Linked DNA regions of Rhinolophus ferrumequinum. The protein of the gene in region 2 interacts with the protein of the main gene of each other region in a biochemical or structural test. Links are inferred from orthologs where the notes say so. Each region holds a gene or a part of one and is shown on either strand. Other genes may lie near its edges.

Evidence for each region.
Region 1: the proteins of ACVR2A (region 2) and SYNJ2BP form a complex in vitro, tested with the Homo sapiens proteins (2 studies listed by BioGRID and IntAct, with this or other methods). The link is inferred for Rhinolophus ferrumequinum from reciprocal best matches to the Homo sapiens genes ACVR2A and SYNJ2BP.
Region 3: the proteins of ACVR2A (region 2) and BMP2 form a complex in vitro, tested with the Homo sapiens proteins (3 studies listed by BioGRID and IntAct, with this or other methods). The link is inferred for Rhinolophus ferrumequinum from reciprocal best matches to the Homo sapiens genes ACVR2A and BMP2.
Region 4: the proteins of ACVR2A (region 2) and GDF2 form a complex in vitro, tested with the Homo sapiens proteins (2 studies listed by BioGRID). The link is inferred for Rhinolophus ferrumequinum from reciprocal best matches to the Homo sapiens genes ACVR2A and GDF2.

What each region holds. Positions count from the first base shown.
Region 1 is NC_046289.1:26,979,307-26,986,480, reverse strand, and holds the start of SYNJ2BP (synaptojanin-2-binding protein), read right to left. Parts: upstream 3,015-7,174; 5' UTR 2,893-3,014; coding exon 2,829-2,892; intron 1-2,828. UniProt on the Homo sapiens protein: Regulates endocytosis of activin type 2 receptor kinases through the Ral/RALBP1-dependent pathway and may be involved in suppression of activin-induced signal transduction.
Region 2 is NC_046291.1:71,832,126-71,840,136, forward strand, and holds the start of ACVR2A (activin receptor type-2A), read right to left. Parts: upstream 3,007-8,011; 5' UTR 2,483-3,006; coding exon 2,428-2,482; intron 1-2,427. UniProt on the Homo sapiens protein: On ligand binding, forms a receptor complex consisting of two type II and two type I transmembrane serine/threonine kinases.
Region 3 is NC_046306.1:27,878,191-27,885,540, reverse strand, and holds the start of BMP2 (bone morphogenetic protein 2), read right to left. Parts: upstream 3,017-7,350; 5' UTR 1,825-3,016; intron 627-1,824; 5' UTR 620-626; coding exon 277-619; intron 1-276. UniProt on the Homo sapiens protein: Growth factor of the TGF-beta superfamily that plays essential roles in many developmental processes, including cardiogenesis, neurogenesis, and osteogenesis. Induces cartilage and bone formation.
Region 4 is NC_046299.1:62,336,622-62,343,550, forward strand, and holds the start of GDF2 (growth/differentiation factor 2), read right to left. Parts: upstream 3,014-6,929; 5' UTR 2,836-3,013; coding exon 2,490-2,835; intron 1-2,489. UniProt on the Homo sapiens protein: Potent circulating inhibitor of angiogenesis. Signals through the type I activin receptor ACVRL1 but not other Alks. Signaling through SMAD1 in endothelial cells requires TGF-beta coreceptor endoglin/ENG.

The DNA.
Region 1 (7,174 bases), on a different chromosome or scaffold from region 2:
CTCCCCAGATACTCACTTCATTGTCCCAATTTTCCTAAGATTTCATTATTTTCCTTGCAATAAGCAAGATCAGAAAGAATAGTTCATTTGCCTTGCAAAATGGGCCCAAACACTGGAAATATCCAACACTCTTGCCCCTGACAACACTGGCACAAAAAACAAAGGTATATACATTCTTGCAGTTACCTGATTAAACTATCAGGTCCCTGCATAGGAAGTTGTACAAAGACAAACAGTGACAATACTGTCTACAAACAGAAATGCATACTGAGAACAAGAGGATTTTCATAGTTCTATTAAAATAAAGATCTCTATGAGACTATCAAAATTACTGGAAGTTTCTAGTGGTGATAACTGACTTCTTCTCTGTGTATCTCCATGATAACACAATGAAGAAAAGCTGAATTAGACTGTGAGACTTCTTAGGAGTACCACATACCTGGTAAATAGCTGTGAGGTGATAAACAGAAACTTAATATCTTTTCCTGTTAACTGAACCAACCAAACTTCAAATGACTGTTTTAATCCAAGTTCAATACAAAATTTGTGGCTCTACTCTCCTAAACTCAAGTTTATCAACTTATGTGAGTAAGACATGAACATGATTGGGAAAATTGAAGCAGTGACCCAGTGAATAAATCCATTCATTCATTTTGAATAAATGCACATACAATCCAGAAATTAAACTGCTTCTGGGTGAAATATATTAGCTAGGTATAATTATTTTTCTTAATTAGTCCCTTGAGGTTTGTTCTAACTCCAGTGGTTCAGAAAAATGCTAACACTAGGAACTTTAGGTCTGCAAGATCAAGAGGATCAGAAATTTTAGCAAACGGTAAGCTGAACATTAAGCAACACTGTTAGGTAAATACTAAAAAAGGTGAAGTGATACTACTGAACTTTAAAAATATTTAGTGACTAGAACATGCAAATAATATCAGAGTCTGCTCTGCTCTAGTTAAGAGATCCTGGAAATACTGCTGGATACCACAGCAAAAGGACTCTCTCAAAGTACATTAAATTCCTAGGAGTCAAACCTCAAACCACATCACAAGAGAGCTAATGTAATAACTAGGCATATTTAGGCTATAGAAGGAAGAGACAAAACAGAAGAACAGCTAGATGCCATTAAATATATTTGCAGGGCAATCAGAAAATGTATTCCCATTGTCTTAATGGACCCTAGGAAAACAAGCACCAATTGATGAAAACCACAGAAAAACAGATTTTGGTTTAACAATAATTTGCCATATTAGCCTGTAAAGTCAATAAAAATTAAGTGAGAGGAGAAATTTACATAAAATAGGGAAAAAAATGAATCTAAGAGACGGGAATAAGAGCTTTTGACAAAAGTTTAGGAGCTCGTATGGAGCATGACACTAAACCATGCAGATTAGCAATGAATTATATTCTTATAAATAAAGTCAGTTTCCAATGTTTTATAACAAGAAAGAAGGCATGGATGATTCTGAAAGCCATATTTTATGGAGAATAATCTTTGATATGAGAAAAGATGATGGACTGTTCCAGGTACGGGTGATGGGAACAGAAAGGAGTGGAAGGTTTACAGAAACATTTCAGAGATAGAGCTCATGGTACTTGATGACTTATTGGAGACTCTTGGAATAACAGTATTTAGTGGGATTTACTGTGTTTATCTAACCATTCATCTATTAAAAATAATAACAAAAGTAGCAATTACGTAGTGCTTACCAAGTGTCAGGCAATGTTCTGCATGTTTTACACAGATTAACTCATTTTGTTCTCCTAACTCTATGATGCGCATTGTACTATCGTGCACATTTTACAGACCAAAAACTAAGAATTACATCAGTAAAACTGGTCAAAGAATAAATGTCAAAGAACTAGTAGGAGATTAGGTACCAGATTTGGACCTACATAATCTCAAAGCTAAAGCTCTGAATCCATACCCTAGAGAGCTGTAAAGGAAAGGCAACAAAATTCTAGGCAGGCAGCATGTAGTAATGTTAAGATGTTAACATGTAGTAATGTTGAGTGAGTGAAGAGTAATCAGGGGTAAGAGGACTGTAGGGGTAAGTGAGGATTTGGCCGTATCAGAATCAGGTAACCACTATCCATGTCAAGAAACAGAAAACTGTTGGCAGGCCAGAGCATATGCGCTTGTTTAAAAAAAGAAAAAGAAAAAAAAACCCAAACCATAAAACACCTGCATTGAGTCCAAATTCCTAGAGATGGGATCTAGGAATTAAGTTGCTGGGGTTTTTTGTTTTGTTGTGCTTTTTTAAGCAAACCCAAAAACCCTGGCTAATTTTGAGGCAAAACCAGGTTTGGGAACTGCTCTAATAGATCACTGAGGCCTCTTCGTGCTTTAATATTCTAGTTGACATTTTCCCACAAACAAGAGGGGAGCGAGGGATACAAGCACCAAGAAAACGGCTGAGTATTTACAGTCCACACCATTTATGCTCCCATTTTTACTAAACAGTCTCTCATAGGAACAGGTATAAAGCAGGCAATGGAAGGAGGGGTGTGGTGTTCACGGTATGCTGGCTAAAAAGCAGGCTTTCCCCCAGGATTTTCTGGTACCATTTAGCAAAAAGGAAACCCGTCATGACCATAAATACATGTGGTATCCGACTCAAAAATGAGGTGGATTCCTCAGATCCATGTCTGGCTAATGATGGATACCAATATATTCTTCTACGTGCTCAAAAGCGTTGCAGGAAACCTCTAGCTTGGGGCCTGCCTGCTCCGAAGCCAAAAGAATCTGGCTCAGCAAAAGAGGTGTTTGCTCTGCAATTACACCTCAAGTACCTACTACCAAAGATGACCTGTTCCGCACATACCTGAGGGTCCTCTGGTAAGATTAATCTCTTCCTCAGTGACCAAATAATCCACTCTTCCGTTCATGTTTTACTGCCTGTCTGGCTTCCCACCTGGGTCAACTAGGGCTCGCACAGGTGAAGGTGAATCAATCTCGGCGCGGCGCCCAAAACACACCACTTTCGATTTTAGCTGCCCTCGGACCGGAAGAGGAAGCCGACAGCGCTGGGAGCGTCAGGAATGCTGGGAGTCGTGGTTCTGGCGCGGAACGCGTTGCGTTACCTCACCCAGTCCTCAAAGCGAACTGAGAAGTGAGCGAGGAGCAAGATACCCTCTTAATTTGCTTTGGGGGTGGGGGGAGGAAGGATAGTAAAAGTAAGAGACATAAATAAATTGATATTGTCGAGGAAAAATTAAAAATAAACTCTCCTGCCATCTCAGAAAATCTCCACAAATGAAGAAAAGAAAAAAAGAAGAAAAAAATCTCTATTACTCAGTAAGCATTAAACCAGCCTGGTTTGGGTGTCTCAGGAAATCCGCTAATGGGATTACAAAGACAGAACTCTCACCCTTTTATGTAGCCAAGCTGAACAATCTGTTACGTGCATATTCTCATGTAAGAAGTTAACAACACCATTCGCTATATACATTCTTTGGTAAGTCGCCCTTGGGGTTACAATCTGTTACTTGACATTATCCAAAGAAAAAAAATAAAACTATCTCTACGACAAGCAGGTACATAAAGCTTGGAGCATGGCACCTAGGGTAACTCCTATAGTAAAGTTAGGTGGGACAATATCTTCCCTGATAGTTACATTTCAAAGAGTTGGCTCCCAGGACTTTGAGAAAAACTTTCCTGAGTTGTCCCTGACTAGAGGCTTGTTTAGCTTTAAAAAAATATTTATAGACATATCAATGGGACAGTGGAAGGATTTATAATTACAGATTTGCTCAAGCAAATCATTTAAAGGAAAAGGAGGAGAGGTCTCTTCATTTTGGTAACAGGGAAAAGTCAACCTTTTTTTTTTTTTTTAAGACTAGTGGATGAACTAGCTGTGACTTCAACCCAGCTTCCTGACTTTTGAGGTAGAATTCCAAAACAGGGCTTTAAGGAACTGTCAAGGGTCAAAAATTTACAAGCTTGAAGGGCCAGGAAGGTGATCTAAATGTGGGAAGAAACCTGGACAGACCACAGGAAGTAGTGGGGACCTTGGAGGACCAAAAAGTGCAGTTCCAATTAATGCAATTCAAATTCAGATTAAATAATCAAAACAGAAGCTACTGTGTTTAGCAACAAAACAAGAAAGAGGCAGATTCCTCAGGAAGGCCTCTTATTTGCTAATCCTGAGAGAAGTTAATATGGAATAGTGGAAAGAACACAGGAGGTAATGTCAGAAGACCTGATCTCAAGTTTTGGTTCCATCTTCTTCCAGTTGTCAGGCTTTGAGCAGGGAACATAATATCTCCTGTGTTCCCCCATCTGAAAAAAGGGAATAATACAGATTTTTAAAAGGTTGTTGAAAGGATTAAATGAGATGGAATTTTAAAAATTACATCTCAACTTCCAACTCATATTCCTACTACTGTCACACCCAACCGTCCTCAACATATGTTGGTTGAATGAGTGAATAACAGGATCATAATGAAAAGCAGAGTATGATAAGTGACAAAACTAAGGTATAACTAAGGGACATTGGAATACCAAGAGAGAAGAGATCAAATAGAAATAAGAAAAGAAAATCAAGAAAGTCATCAATGAAGAAATTTGGAGGAAAAAAGTTTTTTATAGACTACTAAGGGGGAAATCACTACTCTGTACCTGGGAAGAGAGTGCCCTTTTCATCTGGGCACACAGCTTCAGCAGAAACACAAAGGACAGTAAAAAGAAAAGAGATACCAAATAAGTTCAGGAAATGCTGGCTGTAAGTGGAGTGACAGATTAGGTGTGTAAATTGCCTTTATATCTTAATGTAAGTATAGTTTTTTTAAGAATGAGGAAACTTTAATATTTAGAGAAGCAGAAAACAGGACATAGGGATTTCCACTCAGAGAAAACAATTGAGAAAAATTATGGAATCAGGATAATGATGGGAGTAGTGAAGGAATAGCAAATAGAGTTCATGAGCGAAAAAGCAGAATGGGATGGTAGGTGATGACACTGAAAAAATAGGCTAGAAACAGACTGTGGAGGAAAACAGATTGTGGAGGAAGTGTATGCAGAAATATACACTTAATTTTATATGCAATATGCTAAGATGGAAGTTTGTTTCTCTCATATTAAAGAACTCTGGAAATAGATGGTTCAGGCCTGATATTGAGGCTGCTCGGTCATCGTGGTCCAAGTTCCTTCCTTTCTGTCTCCACCCAGTCCCATCCCTGGAGTGTGGCCTTTGCTTCATGGTCCAAGATGGTTAAGATGGGTTTGGGAACTTCAACCATCATTTTCACATTCCAAGAAAGTAATGAAGAAAGGGCAAAGAAAGGTCCACTCCATACTTTAATGGAGACCTCTTGGAAGTTTCATGCACTTCTTATATCTCATTAACCAGAAGCCTGGTCTTATGGTTAAATGTAACTATAAGGGAGGCCTAGGATGTATTTTAGTGGAATGGAAATGTGCCAACTAAAAAAAAAAAATTAAAATCAGGGTTGCTATTATAAATTAAAAGATGAGAACGGATATTGGGAGGCCATTGGTAGTCTCTGACACACAAAGCGACACTTTCTGTCTGAACTAGCCTTTCTATTTAAGGCTTTATGACCTTGAGATATGTAAAAATTATGAAACTTGGTGACTTCAGCCTATTTACAAGATTAGTGGAAACTTTGCCTCATACCTTGAGGTACTTTACCCATAACTTGCTCTATTTTTGCACATTTCATATCATGTATTCACTTTGTCTTTCCAATCTCCTGTCTGCTTCTACCCCCTCCTACTTCAATATTTTATTCTATCAGCCTCTTGATGACTAACTCATGGATGTGTTTGTATTTAGGACTTAACCACCTCTCCTTTGATAGGCATTAGTTCCAATTTGCTGCCCTATAACTGACCTCTTTGTTTTCAAACTCTTGCATATTTTTTTAAATGAGGTGATTAAACCCCTTTGTGATTGACACATTTTTTGTATTATTACATTTAATCAGATTGTATTCGTTTGTTAGAGCTACCATAACAAATACCACACACTTAGTGACGTAACAATAAAAATTTATTTTCCCACAGTTCTGGAGACTAGAAGTCCAAGATCAAGGTATTAGCAGTATTGGTTTCTTCTCAGGCTTCCCTTCTTGGCATGTAGATGTCTGTCTTTTTCCTCTGTGTTTACACGATCTTCTGTGTGTGTACAGATCTGTGTCCAGATTTCCTATTCTTATAAAGATACCAGTTGTATTGATTTAGGGCTCATCCTAATGACCTCATTTTAACTTATTTACTTCTTTAAAGACCTTATCGCCAGCAGGCCAGAAAGGATTGGCACAAAATATTCAAAGTGATGAAAAGCAAGGACCTTCAACCAAGATTATTCTACCAGCGAGGCTATCATTTAAAATTGAAGGACAGATAAAGAGCTTTCCAGACAAGAAAAAGCTAAAGGAGTTCACTGAACCAGTATTACAAGGACTATTAGAGGAACTTCTTTAAGATGGAAAAAAAAATCAAAACTAGTAATAATAAAATGGCAACAACTACATATCTATCAACAATTACTTTCAATGTAAATGGATTAAATGCTCTAATAAAAAAACATAGGGTGGCTGAATGGATAAGAAAACAAAACCCCTTGTATGCTGCCTACAAGAGACTTCAGATAGAAAGTCACACACAGACTTAAAGTAAAGGGATAGAAAAAATTATTTAATGAAAATGGGAAAAAAAAAATAGCTGGGTTAGCAATACTTACACCAGACAAAACAGACTTTAAAACAAAGACTATAATGAGACAAAGAAGGACCCATAATTCCACTTCTGAATATTTTTCCGAAGAAACCCAAAACGCTACTTCAAAGGGACCTGTGCATCCATATTTTCATTGCAGCATTGTTTACAATGGCCAAGATGTGGAGGCAGCCTGGGTGTCTGTGAATGGAAGAATAGTAAAGAGGAGGTGGTACATATATACAATGGAATATCGCTAGACCATGGAAGGGAATGGGTTCTTGCCATCTGCGGCAGCATGGATGGACATGGAGGGTACTGTGCTGAGTGGAGTGTCAGACAGAGAAAGACAGATGCAATGTGATTTTGTTTATATATGGAATCTAAAGACCAAAATAAACAAACAAACAAAACAGAAACAAATTCATAGATACAGAGAACATTTTGATGGTTGCCAGATGAGAGGAGGGTTGAAGGGGGGGGGGGGGC
Region 2 (8,011 bases):
TAGAACAAGAGTAGGAAATTATACATTTGGCCATACCCTACAAGAATAGTCTGCATAATCAGTCCTCAGAAAGTGAAAAATCAAAGTCCACAAGTACTAAAGAAAACAGTAAATATCCATCCTATACCTGAAATAAAATTGCTCTTTACTACTATTCTCCATTTGATAAAAAAAATAAATAAAATAAAATACCCAGAAACAAAAAACTGAAACCTTGAATTTTTTTCAATTCTCATAAAAATAGCCATCCTCATGCTCCTAAACATGCCAGGTTACAAATTACATAGAAAAATCAATTAGGAAAGAAACATAATAATCCTTTTATAGACAGCATTTGACTTATAACAAAAGACCTTTAAAAAAAATCAGACATTTTAAGTACTAAAAATCTTCGTGTATAAATATGGATTAAAGTCTTTACGATTATTTCAATTATTTTCAATAAAATTATATTTTAGTTCAACTAGGAATGTTTATTTAAAAAACTATGTAACAATATTTAATACTAGTCTAATGTAGGGAGAGCATCTATATGTTCTATATGAACGAATTATTTCAAAATTAACCTCCTGGTTCAGTAAAAATAATCCTATAAAAAAATAATGCTCAATTATTTTTACTCCCAAACCAAGCAAAGGGAGCTGTAAGGTCTGTAGCGACAGCCTGCTTTTCCAGAATACCTCCAGACTGCTCAAGAATAACCTCCTGCACCAATTAGTGTTACTCAGGTGAGCCTGAGAGAGAATAATGTCCACAACTCCTTGGTCAGTGGCCATGATGCCCCTCCTACTCAAGGGCAGGAGATCAGAAAGAGGCATTTGAACAAGAGAAGTTCACCAACCAGAACATATAGGGGCAGAGGAGAAAGAGTAGTACAGGAAAAATACAAACCTCATGGTTAAACCATGTTTCAAAAGCAAGAGATTTAATATTATCAAGGTATTCATTCATTTCAGAGACACCACTGTTTATCTTCCTCCCCTAACGGAGCACAAAAAGAACTGTCAGCCTGCTTTAAGCATGTTCCTTCTTCCATTTAAACAGACATGATTCTTTTGGTTAATCTCTGGCAATGATCGCCATTTCACAACACATTCAGCCCACCCGGAACTGATCAATACCACTACAGACATGAGACTAGACTTTATCCATTTATTAACCACAAGGAAATGTACCATTCAGCAAAATTCTATACATTACAAAAGATTCTATTAAAAAGGGGGGTGGGGAGGACAGACCAATACGGACACACACACACACACACACCCCACAGAGGTACACAAAGAAAAGACTACCACCCTCTAATTTCCCTGTGGCAAATGAGATAAAGATATGGCCATGAAACCTGTCAATTCCTCCTCCCACCCCCCATAATTCTCTCTCACAACCTAGTTACTGAATATTGAATTTTATGTTAAATAGATCCACTGCGACTTTAACATTATTTCATCTACCAACCTAACTCTTCTGTTATGTACATTTTGCACACCTTTCAGCTACATGCTGTATTCTTTTGTAGAATTTCAAATACAAAAGACTCGACAGTTTTCCAACCACTGGTTGCAACCATTGAACGTTCTCACAAAATCAAAATTTCAAATACCAAAAGGCCAGATTATTCTCCCAACCTTGGGGCAAAACCTATTTTATGACTTCAGTGCATCTGACAGTATGAACAATTTCAAATGGGCTGTTCCAAATGGAAAACAATGCTTCAATACAACGCGTTTAAAATAAGTATTCCGTAGGTAAGCAAAATCTCTGCCAGAAAAGAGCACATAAATGGTGGTTGGAAGCCAGCATATTACCAACACGCAGCGGCATACCTCTTCTGCACTGGGTTATAGTTAATACTTCAACAACAACTACAACTATTTTTAACACTGCTGGACACTGAAGTTGAAGAAAACGTGAGGGAAGACCCAGATGAAACCGCCGATATGATGCATTGTTTCTCACGGTTAAAATTAAGTAACAACTGACTTGATCTCTGCCCTGATAGTCACTGGTGAAGCACTAATTAAAAGACGATTTAAGAAACCCTTATTTTGGAGGATGCCACACTAAATGACATGTTGGAATACACCTTTCGGGTCTCAAACCTTTGCATAAATTGTCACTTGTGGTATTTGCGGCTGAATTGCAACCCAACCAGCGCTGTCATCCAGTGTTATGGCCACAAAACCATGACTTTCTCACTTCCACAACAACAGTCACTCTTATCAGTTACTAACCTAACGCAAACCGAGGAAAATTCATGGAGGTTTCTAGATCGCAATCAGACCTTGGGGGTGGCAACCTAGGGGCTCGGGGTGGGGGGAAAAACTCCCCAGCCTCCACTGGAGCTCGCCGACCCAACAACAACCGCGGCCGCCAGCAGCGGCAGCAGCGGCTGCAGCCCCGCCGCGACACGCTCCATGCACCTACCTGAAGAACAAGAGATAAGAAAGACGGCAAACGCCAACTTTGCAGCAGCTCCCATTTTCCCGAGGCGCCGGGGAAGCCGTAGGAAGTTCTCGCTAGATATCCAGTTCTCTAGGTCTTCCTCGGAGACAAACCTCCTGGTGTAAAATCAACCGTCATAAAACATATTCGGAAGCCCCGACCAAAAAGAAAAACGTTCACGGGGTTAAAAAAGAAAAAAAAAAAAAGCACAACAATAAAAAAAAATGCACCACGGGGGAAAAAAACCGCCACACACACGCACAACACACAAAACCAAACAACGAAAAGCCAACAACAACAAAAGCGGGTTTAAATCACTGTCAAAATCACTGTCAGCTCGGCTCGCCTCTCGGGTCTCTCGGAACAAAACGCCAGGCTTAGGCGACGAGGCGGCGGCGGCGGCGGCGTCCGCTGCCGCCCGGACAGTCCGGGAACCGAGCTGGGTCCGACGTCCGGACCGACCTTCAACCCGGACACCCAAAGTCCGCGGACCACTGGCGGCTGAGCTCGCGGCGGTGGCGGCCGCGGCGGCAGCGGAGCGGGGAAGGAGCGGCGGGCGGCGGCAGCGGCGGCGGTGCAGGCGGCGGCCAAGTTCTGGTCCAGGCTCTGGCTCCGGCTCCGGGCTCCGGGCTCGGCCGCGTTTTCGGTCCCTTGGCCTCCGCCGGCCCCGCCCCCTAAACTTCCGGTTCCGGCCCGAAGCTGGAAGCCAGGCACCGTGAAGGAACGCTCCGCGGCGGCGGCGGCGGCGGTAGCGGCTGAGAGGCGCGGCGCGCGTGCCGGGCCGGGAGCGCGAGGAGATTGTCGGGGAAGTGAGGCGGGAGCGGGGGAGGGGTGAGAGCGGGGGAGGGGTGAGAGCGAGGGCGGGGCCGGCTGGAGGGCGAGGAGGCGGGGCGGACGGAGGCTCGATACCGCGAGGCCTCGGCGTCCGGCCTGCTCGGCCTGCTGGGCTGTGCGGTTCCAGTGGGTGGACGAGTGGCTACGGTGGGGTTCCGGAGCGCCAAGTAGCGAACTCGCGCCCCACCGGCCTCTCGGAGCGCACGCCCGAATGGTCCGAGGGAGCCCAAGAAGACAAGGACCTCGAGGCGGGGCGGGTGGTGGTGACTCCTCCAGGGGGGCGTCTGCGGCGCCCTGTCTTTCCTCTGGGGGGACGCCTCGTCCGCTCCGAGACTCCGGGCGCCGGGAAGCCGCGGGTGGGAGCCGGTCCGCCGTGCCTGCCGAGCTGCCGGAGCGAGCTCGGTGCGCGCGAACGGGTGGGTGTCTGTGCCGCCCAGTCTTAGCGATGCATCCCACCCCGGTGGCTTAAGCGTTTTGTCTCTCGGCTGAAAAAGAAAAAAAAAAAAAACCTCGCGGAGGATGGGCTGTCCACCCGGTCGGGATATCCACGGCAATTATCACGATGTGCAATTTGAATCCATTCCCACCATCCCTTTTAGTACACAAAGCATTGTGTTGAGAGCTGTTCTGCACGTAATAGGTTCGCAAATATCTATTGCTCGCTGAAGAGGAAACCTGCAGATTTTGATCGACGTGTTTGATGGTCAGACAAGTGTTTACGTTTTCAAATTTTAGGTTTTTAGGGCCTATTTTCACACTTAGTCGAAGTTGATTGCTTACAAGGTGCTGTGCTAGGCATGGAGTTCGATCCGAAATGTAAAAATAGGATCCCTACCCTGAAGAAGCTCACAGTGTTTGCTGTGCTCGAAGTGTCTGCCGAATACAAACTAAAGTCAGTATTAAAGATACTAGCTTTGTCATTTACCACACTTTAGCGACCTGGGTGAAGGTAGGGAGGGATCTTATCTGGCTTCTTCCCCGTTTTATCTCAACACTTAGAGTGTCTAGCCTATGATGGGTGCTTAATAAATAATTGCATAAATGACTGGCGGGTAAGAGCCGTTTTCTTAATCCTATATTCTCACATGTACTCTCCGAATGTTTTATTAATAAAAATAATAAAGCAATTGTACTGTATGGCTAATTCATCGTTTGCTTGTAGCTTATGAATTCCCACATTTTTCCCACAAAGCCAAGCCTTTTCCCTTGTATTTACAGTGTTTTATTTTTCTCTTCTTCTGAATTACTCTGTATTTCTGTTAAGTTCATCCTGTAATTGTCTGCCCATTTCTACAACAGGGTTATTAGCAATCATTGTGGCACTTTAAACTCTCCAAGAGTTTAAAGTTTTCAAGTCATGGTGCTCAGAATTTGATTCATGTTGTGCAACAGTTAAGAAAAGTCCCAAGTTGATCTTCAAGGTATCTAAATGATCTCATATTATGTAGTTCTCTGGACTTTATGAGCTGTTCAGAGGAATAAATACAAACCTTCCATTAGCTTGTTGAATTAAGACTTGCTGCTAACGTTTCTGGAATGGAGAGTGTGTTTCATTTAGAACCACCTTCAGTTCAGGAATTTGATGTCGGTTATACCCTGGATCAGGCCCCACTATTGTCTTATCTCTGCATCACTTCAATATTTTTTGAATTGTGAAACCAGAGCAAGTGGAATAACTGGAATAACCAGTAATAGAACTAAAACTTGAAAATACATCCTTTATCTTACCACCCAAATTCCCCACTATAAGAATGTAAGAAAAGATGAAAATTATTTTTCTGTAGTATGAAAGAGGAGCAATAAGTCAAAGTCTTCACTAGAATATTCTTCTCTAATAAAGAGTTAATATAGCACCATGGGAAAAGTTAGATTCCATTACCGGTAGTTATCTACTTTGTTCCTAAATCTGTGTTTACCCCACCTTCTGCATTTTTTAAAATAATTTAACCTATTAAGACATAAGAGTACGTGACTAATTCCCACTGGAATTCCAAAGCTTAAAAAGGAGACAGAGGTAAACTGCTGCTGACCCTATTGCCCCTCTTTCCTTCCTATTTTCTAGAATCACTGTTTTTTTGTCCTACAAATCCAATACCTCTCTAACACAGTGCAAGCTGTACAAACTGGATTAGGAAGAAAGGTGAGGAAAAGGAAACACGAAAGGAATTCTGGTCTCCCATAGCATTAGACATTATGTGTTAAACAACTTTAGCTAACAACTCAATCCCCAAACCTGAGACCTGGCTTTGTAGCCAGTCCAATGATAGAATTTCAAGTTCAAAGTCCCCCCCAAAAAGTTCAATTGAACTTCAAATTATTCCCAGCTAGAAGAACCTTGAGAAGCCTGTTCAACCTAGAGATTCAAGTGTGTGATGGCTGGATGAGGGGACAGGTAAATTAGGGTCACAGACTGCTTCCAGAATGAAGGATGGTTTCTTTTTACCCTAGAAACTGATATATCAGGCTCAAAAAAGTATGGACTAAGCTTAAACCTTGAATTCTAAAGAGAAGCTGGAATTGAACTTGCTTTTGATATTGGGTAGTATGGCATATAGTGGAAGGAAATTCATCTTAAGGTATTCACCTGCTTTCGGACGTAACAACAGCTACATATAAGCAACACAAACTGAATCTTTCTTCATCTTCCCACAAGGTGGGAAGAAAAATTCCTATATCCTAGCTTTTGCTGTTATACCTCTCTTTCTACTTAGGTCTATCCATAGCATTGTGCTGTACCAATGAGGTAAAAAAGAAATACTGAGAATATGGATGTGAGAATAAGTGAGGGACAAAACATTAAGGCAGCATAGTCTAGGACAGAAAAGTGAGAATAGTTGAAGAGAAACTAGTTACAGTGGAAATAATGTATCCAACACTGATGAAAAGGCTACACTAAGCTAGTAATATAATCTTCAGTGAGATTAGTGCAGACATTGATAAATGCTTTAAAAAATTTTGTAGAAACTTGACAGAATAATTTTGTGTCTGCTGAAGCTAGTAATAAGAAAAATTGGGCTGGTATTTTTGTTTTTATTTTTTGTAATTCAATTTTATTGTATTTTACAAAAGTCTCGTAGATTGGAAATTCACCACAGATAATTTGAAAGGCACTGGAGCAGAGGACAGGCAATATACGCAAGACTCTCAAAAATAGTGCCCTCCATCCATTTTAACAAATGATTAAAATGTTGAATAAAGCTTTGATGCTATAGTTCTAAAATTCTATAATGCAAGACTGCATAAGAATTAGTCATTTTTACTACATTGTCCATCTTTATCTGTGGTATCCACTTATTCGACAAGTAACTATTAGCTATAGGATTTGTGCTAGCGATTGTATAGCGAAGTGCAATGAATATAGTCTCTGCCCTCACTGAGCTTACAGTATCAAGAGGAAGACAAAAACAGCAAGTAAAAAGTAATTTTCAAGTGGGAAGGATTATTTATAAAATCAGACAGGATGCTGAGATAAAGAATAAGAATGATGGGTTAGATAGAAAGAGGGGACCTATTTAGAGACAATGTAAGTTCAGGAAGAACTTACAAAGGAAGTGGCACTTAAACCGAAACCTACAAAATGAGACAGCCGTGAAAGGAGCTAGTTAAGAAGGAATAGTATGTACAAAGCCTATGATATGTTCAAGAAATTGAAAGGAGGCTCTCATGGCAACGAGGAGAGTGATATAAATAAAGAGAGCAGTACAGGCCCACACTATGCAAGATCTTGTAGGCCAAAGTAAGGTCCTTAGATTTTATTCAAAGTAAAGCATTAAGCCATTGGAGAATTTTAAGTAAAAGAGTTGTGTGGTCTCATTTATGCTTTAGAAGATTACTCTGGCTTTTATCTGGAGAACAGGTTGCAAGAAATTACCAAAGAAATTAGAGAGACTAGTTAGGGTGTTGCAGTAAGTCAGGCAAGAGATTATTGGTACTGTGAACTAGTGTGGAAAGAAGTGGACAGATTCAAGATCTATTTTGTAAGTAGAATCAACAGGACTTACTGATGAATTGGATGACTCCTACTTTTTTTTCTTGAGCAAATGAGTGGACATGGTGTCATTTGTTGAGATGGGGTAGATTGAGGGGGAGAGAGACATTATAGGGAAGGGAATGCAGACACGAATAGTGAAATTTTTCAATCTTGAAAATGTTAAATTTGAGTTGCCAATGAGACATCCAAATGGAGATATAAAGTAATTAGTTGGATGCAGGTGACTGAAGTGTAGAGGAGCATGCAATTTCTACACATAGAAATTTGGGAATTGTCAGCACACAAATAAATGGTATTAAAGTTCATGGAAATGAATGAGAGCCTCTAAATGGAGAGTAAACGCGAAAAGAAATTTAGCAAGCAGAGGATTAACAGTGAGGAACGGGGATGAAACAGTAGCACGGAGAGAGATGAGATAAAAAACCAAGAGAAAGATATGTCATCCATGACAGTGTTTTACAAAGGGTGATAGAAGTGGTACTGACTCCTGTAGAGACATGAGTAAATTGAGGGACAATAAATAAATAAATAAATAAATAAATAAATAAATAAATAAATAAATAAATACTCACTCGATACGACATCGTGGAGAGAATTAAATGTCCTTGACAGTAGTTACAGCAGAAGCCAAACTGAAATGTTTGAAGGGTCAGTGGTAAATAAGAATTTAGAGGCAGCAGAAATAACTCTTTAAAGACATCTGGCTATAAAAAAATCAAATCGGGCAATGGCTAGAGGCAA
Region 3 (7,350 bases), on a different chromosome or scaffold from region 2:
TCTCTCCAGTTCCTGGAGGAGGAGTCGCTCTCCTGGCTGCAAGCCAGGAAAAGGGTGCGGATTTACCAATGGGGAATCCCTGGCTCCCCCACCACACAGGCAGTGTGTTCAAGCCAGGTTCCTAAAGGTTCGTAACAGAGGCAAGACGGGAAACGGCTTCCGCACCCTGGCCAGGCTGCCCTTCCAGGGATGCCTGCTGTCTGCCCACGGTGGGGCGCTTCGCGGGATGACTCCCCGCCCCCGTCCCCGCCCCCACTCCCTTGTCCCACACCTCACCTTCGTGATGGAAGCTGCGCACGGTGTTGGCGAGGCTGGCTGCCCTCTCCAGCCGGTGGTCCGGAGCCGGCGCGCCGGGCTGGCCCGAGTGCCGGCGGTACAAGTCCAGCATGTAGGGGGGGACCACGGCGTCCCTGCTGGGGGTGGGTCTCTGCTTCAGGCCGAACATGCTGAGCAGCCGCAATTCGAACTCGCTCAGGACGTCGTCCGAGGGCTGGGACGAGGAGCGGCCAGTCGACGCTGCGAACTTCCTCCGGCCCAGCTCCGGAATGAGGCCGGCCGCGCCGCCCAGGAGGACCTGGGGAAGCAGCAACGCTAGAAGACAGCGGGTCCCGGCCACCATGGTCGACCTGCGGACAGGGCCGACGTGAGTCACCGAGTTCCCCGCCCAGCCCTCCCCCCTTCCGCCCGGCGGCCCGACTCCCGTTCTGTCCACCTGCCTCCTCCTCCGGGGTGCCTACCTGGCTTGCAACACTCAGGGATACTTCAGAGCGGCTGAAGCTCCAACGTTTGGGAGAATGGAAGGGCCCTAGTTTCTGAGCTAGAAGGCTTTCCCCCTCCCATCCCACTCTCAGGTCGTCTGACATGATTTGCACCACTCCCCCCCCACCAGCGTCAGCGACTGTCACCTTTTTTTTTCTTTTTTTTTTTTAAGTGATACTCGTGCTGACGGCCAGTTCAGGGAACCTGGGAAAACCACTGCTGGGTCCGACACCCTTTTGTCCCCTAAGCAAACCCAAACCCAAACTGCCCAGCGCTCACTTGCATATAAACACTCACGAATGGTGCATGTGACTTCCTTAGTAGCACTGTATAGAACTTCCTGATACACACACATAGACTATAACTTCCAGACCCAGAAAACTCAAGGCCACAACTTCCGAAGCCACTTGCAACTTGTGGCCCACGTCTCTAAACTCAGAGGTGTCAGGACAGGCCACACTCCAATCCCGGACCCTCGCCCCACCCCTCCAATGCGGTTCAGATACACATGTCTCTTCCTGGGATTACAAAAATGTTTATCTATTAATTCACATGTTAGTACAAGGTGGCACTGAAGTACTGCCCCCTCGAATTCCTGGAAACAAGCAGGGAGAACCCCAACGTTTAGTATTTTCCCAAATGGGACGTAGCTCTGAGTAGAGACAGCAGGGCTCCTGGAGAACTTTGAAGAAGGCAGAAGGGATCGCCATGGCAGGGCATACAGGTTGGCAGCTAACGGGTGAAATCCAGGGGCCACCCTCCCCAAGGGATTTCTTTGACTTTTTTCTTTAATCATCTAAGTGTTAACAGCCCTAATAAAATACCGAAGAGAGAGGTGGGAGGAGGGGCGGAAGAGTACGAGCCAGGAGGGCGATGCTGACGGTCGCCAGGGGCGGTAGGATGGGGGCATCCCAGCAGGGGCTCGGCTGCACGTGGACTTGGGGGGGGGTTCTGTTTACGTCCCGCCTGGCGAGGTCCCGTTGGAGCTCAGCCACAGCGGCTGCTAGGGCCCCGCGTCCCCCCACCCCCCACCCCCAGAGCCAGCCCCGGGCCCACGTCCTCTACCTTTAGGAGACCGCAGACCGTCTAAGAAGCACGCGGGGACACGTCCATTGAAAGAGCCTCCACATGGAAAAAGCTCTGGCCGAAGGATCTGGAGCAGGGACCGAGTTCCCTTCTTTTCCTCCTTCTCCTCCCGGGTGTCGTCCGGGTAGTCCTTCTCCTCACGCAGGGAACCGCGTCTCGGGAATGGGCCCAGCGGACGAGTGGAGGGCCGGTAGGGTTCGGAGGCTGGGTCCGCTGGGGCAAAGGCACCGGCACCAAGCAGGGGAGCGCAAGTTATTCTCCCTGCAAGTTCAAGAAGTCTCCAGCCAAGTGCTGACACACAACAACAGCGAGCAGGGGGAGGAGTGCGGGGCAGAGAAGGGAAGGGAGAAAGGAAAAGCTGGTACTGTCGTTGTCCTTAGGAACCAGAGCCCCCGGGACGCTTGGCCCCGCGCGGGAGCGGCTCCTGGATTCGGGGGGCGAGGGTCGGGCGCTCCGCGCTAGCTCCGCCGCGGCCCATGGCTCGGGGCAGCCATCCTGGGCGACGCCGGGTCCGGGGAAGGGCGCAGCGGCGATCTCGGTGCCGGGCGAGGTGCCCCCCGGCATCACTCTGCCTTACTCCAGCGCACCCCCATTAGCGCCAGCCAGTTGCAACCCCCGCTGTTCCGGCGCTCCGTCGTCCTCCGGCGCATTCTCCGGCGAGTCGAGCCGAGTCCCAGGTCGCCGAGGCGGGTGGCCCCGCTCTCTCCTTGCTCTCCTAGTCCCCGGGCCAAGCTGCTGGAACCTTTGTGGCCAGCCTGGGGTCCGATCACACCTCGTCCGGCTCGTCCCAGGCCCCCGAGCTCCGGCGGGAGGTACCCGGCATCCCCACGTTCAGTCTCGACTCCCGGCTCCCCCGCGCTCTGCGCGCGGGTCCTCAGTTCTGGCGCGGCCCGGGGAGCCGAGGCCACGGCTCAGTGGCGCGCACGGCCGGGCGCTCCAGCCCGAGCGGAGTAGGAAGCGCGCGGGTGCCTCGGAGACCCCAGTAATCCCGGAGGCGCTCGCCCCGAGGTCGTTCGGGTCAGCGGCGGAGCCTGCGGCGGCTGATGTCCGGCGGCGGCTGCCAAGCCCAGGCTGGGTGTGGGAAGCGGAGCGGCGGGCGCAGCGCGAGCCGGGCGCAGCGCAGCGCGGCGGGGCAAGGACTCCGGCGGCGGCGGCGGCGCCGTGGCGCGGCGCTCGCGGCTTTTAAAGGGGACGCCGCCTGCCGTCTCCCTCCCGGCCGAGGCCGAACACCTCCCCCTCGGTGGCGCGGCTCGCCGGGGATCCCCGAGCGGGCGGGAGCGGCGCGCAGGGGTGTGGACGGCGCGCCGGGGCAGCCGCGGCGGGGTGGGGCCGAGGGCCGGGACGCGCGGCCGCCGAGGGGGGCGCTCGCGCCTCCAGCCTCTGACCTCAAAGGGGCTAGCTGCTGAGGCGCCAGACCCTCGCTGGCGCTCCGGGGTGAAATCCGGGACAAATACGGGGTTGAGCCCTCATTTCCCTACCCGGCCCGTTATTCAACTTTCAGTTTGAAGTTTTTCGGTAATAGACGATTAAATAAAAAAGAAAAACTCAACGAAGTTACAAAGCATCTTGGCATAAGCTTGGGGTAGTCACTTGGTGTTTCCCTGAGTGCGAGGAGAATGAAAAGAAAACTAGGATTTGGAAACTGGGTGTTATTTAAACTTTTACATATATACATACATATATATATATATATGCATTTACATTTGTATAACTTATGTGTATACATTTATATAAATGTGCACGTATTTTTTTCAGACAAATATATGTAACATACAAAAATATGCGTGTATGTCTCTAAATATATCCATATATGTAAATATATGCTAACGAAAGTACACATTTTCATAAATATGTCTGTATATGTGACATGGATGTCATCCTCCTATACATGACATGTGCAACTTGGACTGTGTGTGTGTATCAGTTTGAAGAGAGGATGAGAGGTATTTTATTTCTTTTTATGGTAGCAATCACTTCATGCCTTGTGATATTTATCTCACCCAGCTCAGAGGCAGGCGATTAGCAGCTCAGAGGACGGTAAAATAATTCACAGTGTGAGCCAAGCCTATAAGACAATTCTGGTTTGAGACCTTGGAATCTTTGTCCCACCCCCCTCCACCAGGCCCCCCGCAGGTTTATGACATCTGGCCAAGTCACTTGTCTTCCTCAGCTGAAATATTTCCCAAATCTTCTGCACCAGGAGCTCCCAGGCTTTCTGTCCCTCTCAGGATTCCAGGATCTTCCATGCAAAGCACAACTAAGTTGCCTGAATGATCCCAGAAGCCAAGGGCAGAAAATTTTTGGAATAGGCCAGATAGCAAAATCAAATTTGCCTGCACACAGAAACCTCAAGCCTGTAAAACAGAAAGGGAAAAGTCTGAAGCGGGAGCTCATAACAATCTATTATCCATGTGCATTATTTTTTCAGTTGGGAAGCTAAAATAATTCTAGGTTCTGCTCATGTAAATCGGATTAGCAACCCACAGAGGTGAATTAGGCACTCACTGTTTCTGAGAGTATAAAGGTCACATAAGGTATTTTGGAGGAAGCTTACCTACTAGGAAAATAAATGAGGGGCTGGGGTGGGCAAAATATTCAAGAACATGCTTTCCCCCCCTGAAAATAAAGTGCCATGGAAGTTGAGTGTCACTCTGAATCATTGGACATCAAACAAGTTGGCAATAGAACACATTCTACTCATAGATGCAAGTCGAAAAGTGTTGATTGTGCTTCCGAAACTACTTCCATTCCTATCAAGTTTAATTGAGAAGTTAACAATTGTTTCTGTCACATGCGAGATTTAAAAAACGAAATAAACTTTGTGAGACCTAAATCAGTATGTAGCTTGTAAAGAGGAGAAAGTGGATTGGTCTTGAATGCTCTTTAAGTAAAGATGAAAATTAAATCTCTGGTGCTGACATCAGGATGTCTTGCAGCTTTAGGCCTTCATAACTTGCGAAAGGGGCACCTTGTCAGTTTACGAAATAATCTTCGATAGTCATGAATCTGAGGGAAAACTGGCCATTTGTGGACACTCTATTCCATTTCAGTGCTGCCCATCACAGGATTTCTTTTATGTGTAAGTATGCAATTTCTGAGGGACTGCTGAATGCCTTTCACAAGCACAACTTCCTAAATTGTGGCCCCATTTTCTCTGAAGATCCAGGCTCTCTGGTTGTTTTTAAGAGATGGCTGCCCTCTTGTGGTGGAAATGAGTTCGAACGCTTGGGAGAAAAGTCAATACATTAATAAGTAAGTAAATAAACAATTTCCAAAGACCGATGTGGGATACAAAGTACAGGATAACCATACCTATCCATTTCCAGGCAATAAGGAATATTAAAAATCGATAAATCTAAATGGAGATGACCTATCTGTTTTTATTCTCTTTGCTACTAGCCACCTTACACCTGCAGCTCAGAATGCAGGGTTATTACTTTGACGTGATAGGATCTGTTTGCCTTGAAAATATCACCTGCTGCTAGCCTGGTCAACTCTACCTCTTTCAAAGGTTCAGGAAAAGTTTTTCAGCCCAAAAGGTGAGATACATTCTCGCTCGGTGTATCAAATATGGTGTATGTGCAAGATGTAGAGGGTGGCAAGAGTGGGGGTGGGTTGTTTGAGGGAGGGGTGATCTCAGCTACCTCAGAGACAGCAGGCAAGTTATGTACAAAATAGCAAAGCCTACCAGGTAAGGATGCTATCTGAAGAAGGTTGTTGCTATTCCCTTCCAGTCATTTCTTGCCAGTGTTTGAAGAGATCCCAGAAATCCTCCTTTGATTATGTGTGGACACGACCTGAGATGAAACTTAAAGAGTCAAACATTAACAACTTTTCCTTTAGCAGTTCAGCCCAGATAACGTTGAATGTTAATGCATCCTGCAGCTATTAGCATTCAGGATTGTTCTTGCTAGGCCAACCATTATGCAAATTAACCTTAAAATAATGATCCTCACTATTGTAAAGGTCATAGCAGGCGTTAAATGATCCATCCACCTGGTAATTGTCATGCCACTGAAACCTGTGGCAACTCCTCTGAGAAACCTCTCGGCTTTTTAACATACGTATTGCTTTGTAACGCCTGTGACACCCAACACCAATTCTACTTACTTCAACTGGATGAGGTTCTTTCACAAAAACCCAGAGGCACAGCAAAAAAGCAGCATTTAGTCAATCAAACTTTTACCTATTTGATGTATGTTTAGATATGGTCAGAAGAAAGGGGTGGGGTGGAGTGATTTATTTGCAAAACTAGGCCTAATACGCCAAGTCAGGTTTACTGCTTTCAGGCAAATACTGACTTCATCTTAAAAATTAAGAAAAAAAAATCAATTTTGTGAATAGACTAGGTTGTATTTTAGGACGCACACAGTAGGCGTTCTATAAATATGTTGATCATAACCCAAGACATAGTCGGCTAACTTAGATTCTGATTCTGGTTCGGCAGTGGATGTTAAATTTAAAATGGTCATCTCTCGGCTCATCTGTTGATCGGGGTACATAAATGTCTGTTCTTCTGGCTGCCTCAGTTGGCATGATGAAGGTCAAATGCATAATATGTGTGGACTTGGAGAATTTAATGCCCTACATACACAAGATTCTAACTGCTACTTTATGTATCTTTAAATGTATTTTTCAGCTTCCTGCCTGAAATATTATAACCTGATTTTGAGAGACAGGACTTTGTCTTTTTTCTTTCTTTCTTTTTTTTTTCCTAATGGCTTTTATCATATTGCTAAATAGTGGGGATTTTGTTGGAAAGGTCATTGCTTGAGTCAATCTAAGGCTCAAGCAGTTCTCATAGTCTCAGCTCCTTCGTGAGTAATATATAGAGATTAATAGCTAATCTCACACAGCTGTTGTGAAAAATAAAATGCGAAGATGAATGCTAAATAAATACATGCATCTGAAAAATAATTTTGGTCTTCCAATAGGTTGTGTTAGATATCCGTTAAGTATTATTTCAGTACCAAATATCAATGTATTTGTCTAACTTGTCAATGACATTAAACTGTTTTGATATTGTGATAATTGGATTGTAAAGAGTCAATGATAGTATTTCTCTTTACATATCCAGACTCCAGATATTTATGGAGCAGCTATTAGCCCATGGCACTATTCTCTTCGGTTCCAGGAAATAGTAATACAAACATACATAATCTCTGCCCATGATGCAGAGTTTAAAATTCAGCAGAAGAGATGGAACATGTTCGTAGGGAAATAAATATAATATGTATGTATAAAAACTTTAAGATAAGTGGGGAAAAAAGTGCTGCAGGTTTAATGGAGAACAATTTCTCTTCTGAAATGTGAACTCACAAAATTCATAGAAGAGAGGGCATTTGAGAGAAATATTCACAGTGAGTATAATTTCTGTAGGATCAGTAAGGAGTCTTTATGAACGTCAGCATTAGCAACAGTGGGTTTTTATCAGCACTTGTTATTTCACCTAGTTCTCACTAGAACCTTGCTCAGTGGGTATTACTATATCCATTTTACAGATGA
Region 4 (6,929 bases), on a different chromosome or scaffold from region 2:
TTTGTTTCACTTAAGCTTTTAATGTAGCAGAGTATTTTGAAAGGTAGGTTTAGGATCTTCCAAAGAGAAGCAGAGGCAGGAGACGCCGTGCATTGCAGTGAGCAGGCCCGCATGTTGATTGAGCATCGACTGTGGGCCCAGAGTTGCACTGAGAGCTTTGCATCTAAATTTCACTTGACTCTTCACACTGACCCTGGGACCATCTAATGACTATTCCGCTCTTACAGATGTGGAAACTGGCTTTAGGTTGGTTAGCAGCCAAAGTGCACACATTCTGTAAAGATCCTCACTTATAAAAAAAAGAACCAAATGAAACAAAACAGCAACATTCACTGTCAAGTTCTGAGTGCTGATCCTGAGTGTATGATTTTAAAGGGGAGATCCTGGGGGGGAAGGTAAAATTCTAGCATTAAGACAATATTAAAAATCTGCATCTACATAGTGCAAAAATCATTCAGAATTGTAACTTCTGGGCAAAGTGAAAGTGGATGATTTTTTTAATGTTTGAGGAAAAAAAAATATATGAGCTTCAACTTCTTTCTCATGTCAGGCAAAAATGGGACTTGCCTGTTAGCCACACAACTGTCTCAGTTTCCTACTTCTTCTGACTGACTCATGGCCATTAGCACATCTCTATTATACCATGGCTTGGTCACAAAGAGGGAAGAAGAGTTGCATTTTGTGAGCACTTACTATGTGCCAACTGAAGGGAGACTCTATGCTGTCCTGAAAACCAGCAGGTTTTTGTGTCTCAGACTAAAGCGTCAATCCTGACTCTGCCCTTTCCTAGGCGTATGACTTTGGAAAAGTCCTGAGTCTCTCTGTGCCTCAGTTTTCTCATCTGCAGAATGGGGTTCATCCTTCCTGCCTCCCAGGGTTGGTTTGAGGCTTCGACAAGACAGTGCATGGAACTTACCCAACATTGTCCCTGGCTCATAGAAGATGCTCAATCAACATTCCTGTGTCCTCCCCCGACCTTCCTCCCCCAAAGCATGTGGCCTTTCACACAGTTCTCTGTGGTGCCCTCACAGCTACTCCAGCTCCTGCAGAACGTGCCGAGCTGCTGTGACATGAGTAATGAAGGGGTCTGTGAGTAGTGCATTAGTGACCTAATGTGCTCTTCCTGTGGCATGCCTTGATAATGGCTGTGGGATGGCAGTCAGACATCTAGAAAGCAAGTGTCCCCCAGCCCCCGAGCCACACTCGGACCATCTGTGAAGTCTGTAAAGGGAAGCATAATTGGTCTCCACAGGAGTGCTGGCCATAGGCAGAGCTGGGATCAGATCAGAGCACTTGTTTCTGGGACATGGACAATGCTGGAGGGTGGGGACATGACTCTAAATGCTGGACTCCCCGATGGGATTTGGTGGTTAGGTCCAGCCAAAGTAGCCCAGCCTTCCTCTGAAGCAGAGCTTACAGACATGCCCCATGGGCCTGGGGAGATGCTGGTAGATGGCATTAAAAAAATAATAAAGCTTGTGTTTTAAAAATCAGGCAAGTTCACATAAAATCTAGATTTCTTCTTTTTCTTTTGGGCAATCAGAAAATCTGGCACAGCTGGGCATACAATGTGACCACAACAGTGTCTTTGAGACGGGTGTACACTCTGCAGGCCGGGCAGGCCTGGCTGCCGGCTGGCGCTCCGAGCAAAGCCTGTCAGGATTTACAGCACTTCAGCCCAGGAGCAGGGAGGCCATGTGCGGCTGCTTCTTTAGCGGGAGATGGCAGCAGCAGGAAACGCCTGAGCTGTGCAGACGGACGGGCCTGGGTCAGAATCCAGCTACTTAACTACTATGTGACCTGGGAGTGTTCCTACAGCCTCTGCAAGCCTGGCTTCCCTGCTCACAAACTCATTTTACCTACATTGTGTGATTAGTGAACAGAAGCCCTAAGTCAATGTTTGTTTTCTTCTAGTCCTCCTAAATCAGGGAAATTATTTTATATTTAGAAAATAATTGAGTAGTCCTCCAACATTTAGCTCTCAGAGGAATGTATCTGAATTTTAGACATCTTTTGATCAGCGAGAAATAGACATTCTTTCAATGTTTAAAGATATACCAGCTGGTTGGAGGCTAAATGAGTTGTCTGTTTCTAAGTGGGAAAGGACCAGTGAGAGAAGGGGAAAGAAAGCAAGGGGTGGAAGAAAGGGAGCTGGCATTCCCGAAGCTCCCCCTGAGTTAAATTGGCACTGGGTCCAGGGAAGGAGACTCTCCTAGAGCAGAGCTATCCAGTAGAACTTCCTGCGATGACGGAAATGTTCCATGATCTGCCCTACAGGATAGACATCAGCCACATGTGACTGTTGGACGCTTGAATCGAAGCTAGTGAAACTAAGGAACTAAGTTATTAATTTTATTTCATTTTAATTCCCTGAAAAGGAAACTTAAAGAGTCGCGTGTGGCCCGGGGCCGCCACACTGGGCGGCACAGCTGTGGACCACTGAGTGGCCCTGACCCCACCCGCAGGAGCCCAGGTGGAGCCCACTCTACCTTCCATGCTGAAGCTGCGAACGATGTTGGACGCCGGGGTGGACGACTTGTCAGTGGTGTATCTGTTGTACAGGTCGATCATGTACTGCGGTGGCTCTGCTCGGGTTTTGTCCTGGGAGGGGACGCCGCTCAGGTTGAGGCTGCGCAGGAAATCCACCTTCATGTTCTCCAGGAACATCCTCAGGTCGAAGGTGCCCGCTCCGTGCTCACCTCCGGGCCCCCCTAGCAGGCGATGGGCATCTCCCGCTGTCAGCGTCCGGCCCCGGCTCTCCAGAGGCTTCCCCTGCCCAGAGCAGGTCAGCAGGGAGAGCACAGGCAGAGCTACCCACAGCGCCCCGTGGCACATCTTGGGACGGCGAGCTTGCCCTGGACAGGAGACTGCCGGTGGCCACCTGGGCTTAGCGGGTGTGGGGAGCAGCGCAGGAGGAGCCGGCCCGCATCGTCCTGCCGAGCGCGCTGCACCAAGCACCCTGGCCAGTTCCCAGGCTCTCACCCGCCGTCCCAGTGTCCTCCACTTGTTCTTATCTGGCCCTCAATGCGAAGCTCCAACCTCTTATCTAAGGGAGCTCTCCGTTAATGAAGGCTCTATAAACATCTGACAAACACGCAGGGCTTGTGGGAAGGACAGGGCCTGCTGCAAAGAATCCGAATTTCTCCATGGGGTTATCGCCCCTTAATTAGGATCCTTTCTCATTTCCTTGTCAGCTCTGTTCAAAAGAACCTCAAGACGGGGTGACATATGCTCCATCTCCTGGACCACAGAAACAAAGAATCCAGGAAACAATCATGACCAAAAAGTCCTCCAAATATAGAAACAACACAAAACCCCCAGAGGATCCTGCAGACCCGGGCTGGAGTGGGTGGTGGGGTGGGGGCCGCAGCAGGGTGTGTGAGAGGCCTTCTGGCTGTGGGCTCAGGACCTGCAGGTGTGGCTCCCGTGCTCTGTACCTGCGTCTCTCATCTGCCAAGCGAGTTCCCGGCCATTAGAGATCACACGTGAATGTGGTACATGATTCAGTGAGGTGGCACAGACAAGGTGAGGCTTCAAATTCCAGCTCCCTCACTATTCCCTGCAGTGGGCTCTGGAGCAAGTAAGTCACTTCTGGTGCAGAAGAGAGTTGTGAGGATTTAGATAATTGCGTGCTTGGTGTCATGGCAGTCCCTGCAAGCCCTGGTCAATTGCGTGGCTGCGTTCTGGCTGCCACTTCTCCATGCCAGGTCTGACTGAGCTGGGAGCTGAGGAGGAAGCCCTATGCATCCCAGTTTGCTCACTACGGACTCCACAGGGACCCCAAAAGAGCTATGTCACTGGTCTTCAAGGGAGTCTTTGCTCATGTCAGAGGGGTGGATGCCTAGGCCACCTTCCTCCATCAGGGGATCCATGCAATCTGGGGAGACAAAGCAGCGGGAGAGGAGCTCTGAAGCCAGTACATGCCCTGGCCTGAGAACAGAACACAGTAGGGTCCTGCGAGGCCCCAGAACTTGTGTCATTTTAAAAGCATCATGCCCACACTCAGCCTCTGTCCTTTTCCATCATGTGTGATTTTGAACAAGGCAAAGAATGAACACAGTTAAAAATACCTGGGGGTCTCCTCTGAAGAGGATTGGAACATGAAGCTTTTCCACATTGGCGGTGCTCCTGGGGAGGGTGGCAGTGAGCTGAGCAGGCTCAGGAGATGTAGGAGGAGCCATGGCAGGCTGAGGTCAGAGATCCCAGTGTACGCCCAGCTTTTCTCCCACTACTAGTGGAGGCAGGGTGACACAAGGAGGCCCCGAGTAGCCAGGCCGAGACAGAACTTGCTGTCCCCATCTTTGGGGACACTGCCAAGGGAGAATGGATGGGAAGGGTATGGCTTCAGAAGTGCTGCTTGGAAAGGGGGCAGGAAGCATGCTGGGCATTGAGCCAGCTCAGTGCAAGAACTCTTGTGCTGATGAAGGGGTGCAAGGTCCGGGAAGTGGAGCTGCAGCTGTGCAGTGGGAGGGGTCTGGGCGGAGCTGGAGAGCAAAGCAGGATCCCCCACCAGCTCCAGGCCCTGGAGGCAGCCAGAAATCTGTCACACTCCAGACGGAGCCAAGGGATGCATGGGGGTGGCCTGAATGTGCTCAGGAAAGCTCAAGGGGCTGCTACCTGATGTTTCCTTAAAAACATGACAGATTTTCTTTTCTGATTATAATAGTAGTGTATGGTGCAGATAATTTGGGAAAAGCAAAACATTATAAAGAAGGAAATAAAAATAAACTATACTCTCTCTGTCTGGTGATGCCCACAGTTAATATTTTCAGATAGATGCAGTTTCCACAGTCCCCTATTTAACACCTTGTGGCCAGGAGTGTTTTGCGATTCAGAAAGCTTCAGAGTTTGGAAATTTGGTACGGCAAGTGTACTATAATATCTCCCGTGGGGCTGGGGATAATACCCTGTAAACAAAAACATTAATATTTCTGCAGTGAAACAAAGAAACAAGCCCACGTATCCATTCAGATCAAATTCTGCCATGAAAGAAGTTAAAAGGAACTTCAGGTTTTCTGATAGTTTCGGGTTTGGGAATCTCAGAAAAAGAACTGTGGGCCTGTCTACATGTGGGGTCGGGTCACCAATCCGGCCATGGAGGCTGCACACTAACAAGGCTTGGAGGCACTGGTCACACATCATAAGACTGATGTGGGTGGCACCCCCAGCGCTGTGCAATGCAACATGCCTGTGAATTTCTGGAATGATCGGCCCCACACATTCAGAGTATCAATATGTCTGCATCTCCTTTATTGTTTTTAAATACTTGCATGAGGCCTCAGATCCATATTATTGAAAAGTCTAGTTTGTTCCTCTCAGGGCATCTCTTTCCTGAATGGTCAAAGTGCACTGTAGGTTTATTTAGTCCAAAGGAGATGGAGGTGGGATGGCGTCAGTCCAGCTTCTTACTGCTGGAAGCGGGGAAGGAGGAAGGGATCCTAGCAGATTTCCCCTGCTGTTGCTTCTTAGTGACACTGGCTTTGCTGTTGGGGACGGGTCACACACATCTAACAGCTGTTTGTGCGCAGCTGCTGGGATGCTGTGTCTGGTCCAGGTTTCGCCCCGGTCTCCACGATGTCTCCCTTTGGGCACCAAGGTATCAGCTTTCTTAGGCACAATCTCAGGCTTACCTGTTCTCCAGAAGGCACGTCCTTGCGGCAGGTGGCTGGGTCGAGAGAAGAGGCCAGCTGTGGTCACATTCTGATCCCATGCTACCCTCTCTTACAAAACTCTGGGTTTTTATGGGGAGCCTGGGTCACAGCCCAGACTCCCATTTTACTCAAAGCGGTATGATTTCAGAGACCTTGTTACCTTTCTGTATAAATCGGCCTTGGTCTATCTGGACAGATCTCCTTAACTTTGGGTCTTAGGGAACAAGGTTCGGGTCTTGTTCTCTCTTTTACAGAAGATGTGGGGGTCCTCATACAAAAGGATGCTTCTGTTGCTACCAGCTTTTCATTGCTGGGACTTCACGGAAGGGCTACCTTAATTGAGCCACAAAATATCATCTTCACCTTCTTCTCCCCCTCTTCATCTCCCCTAAATTGTGTACCATATGACCCTGCAATTCCATTTATAGGTATTGAATACATCCCCAAAATAATTGAAAGCAGAGTCTCAAAGAGATATTTGTATGCCCATGTTCATAGCAGCATTATTTACAATAGCCAAGAGGGTAGAAGCAACCCTGGTGTTTATTGATGGATGACTGGATAAACAAAATGTGATATATATATCATTGCCCCGAAAATAAGACCTAGCCAGACAATCAGCTCTAATGCGTCTTTTGGAACAAAAATAAATGTAAAGCCCGGTCTTATATAAGACCCGGTCTTATATATTATATTATATTATATTATATTATATTATATTATATTATATTATATTATATTATATTATATTATATTATATTATTATTATTATTATTATATTATATTATATCTGGTCTTATATTATAGTAAAATAAGACTAGATATAGATATAGATAGATAGATAGATAGATAGATAGATAGATAGATATAGATATATTTCAGCCTTAAAAACGAAGGAAATTCTGGCACATGCCACAATATGGATGATTCTTGAAGACACGCTAAATGAAATAAGCCAGTCACAAAAGGATAAATATCGTATGATTCCACTTATATGAGGCACCTAGGGAAGTCAAATGCATAGAGACAGAAAGTAGAACGGTTGTTACCAGGGGTTGAGGGGAAGGGAGTTATTGATAAATGGGTACAGAGTTCTAGTTTTGTAACGTGAAAAGTTCTGGAGATGGATGGTGGTGATGGTCACATAGCATTGTGAAAGTACTAAAAGCCGCTGAACTGTGCACTTAAAATGGTGAATTCTGTTGTGTATTTTACTACAATTAAAAAATTTTAAATGTATCATATAGAGTTCTTTTTGTTGCAAGTTATAGCAAAGCA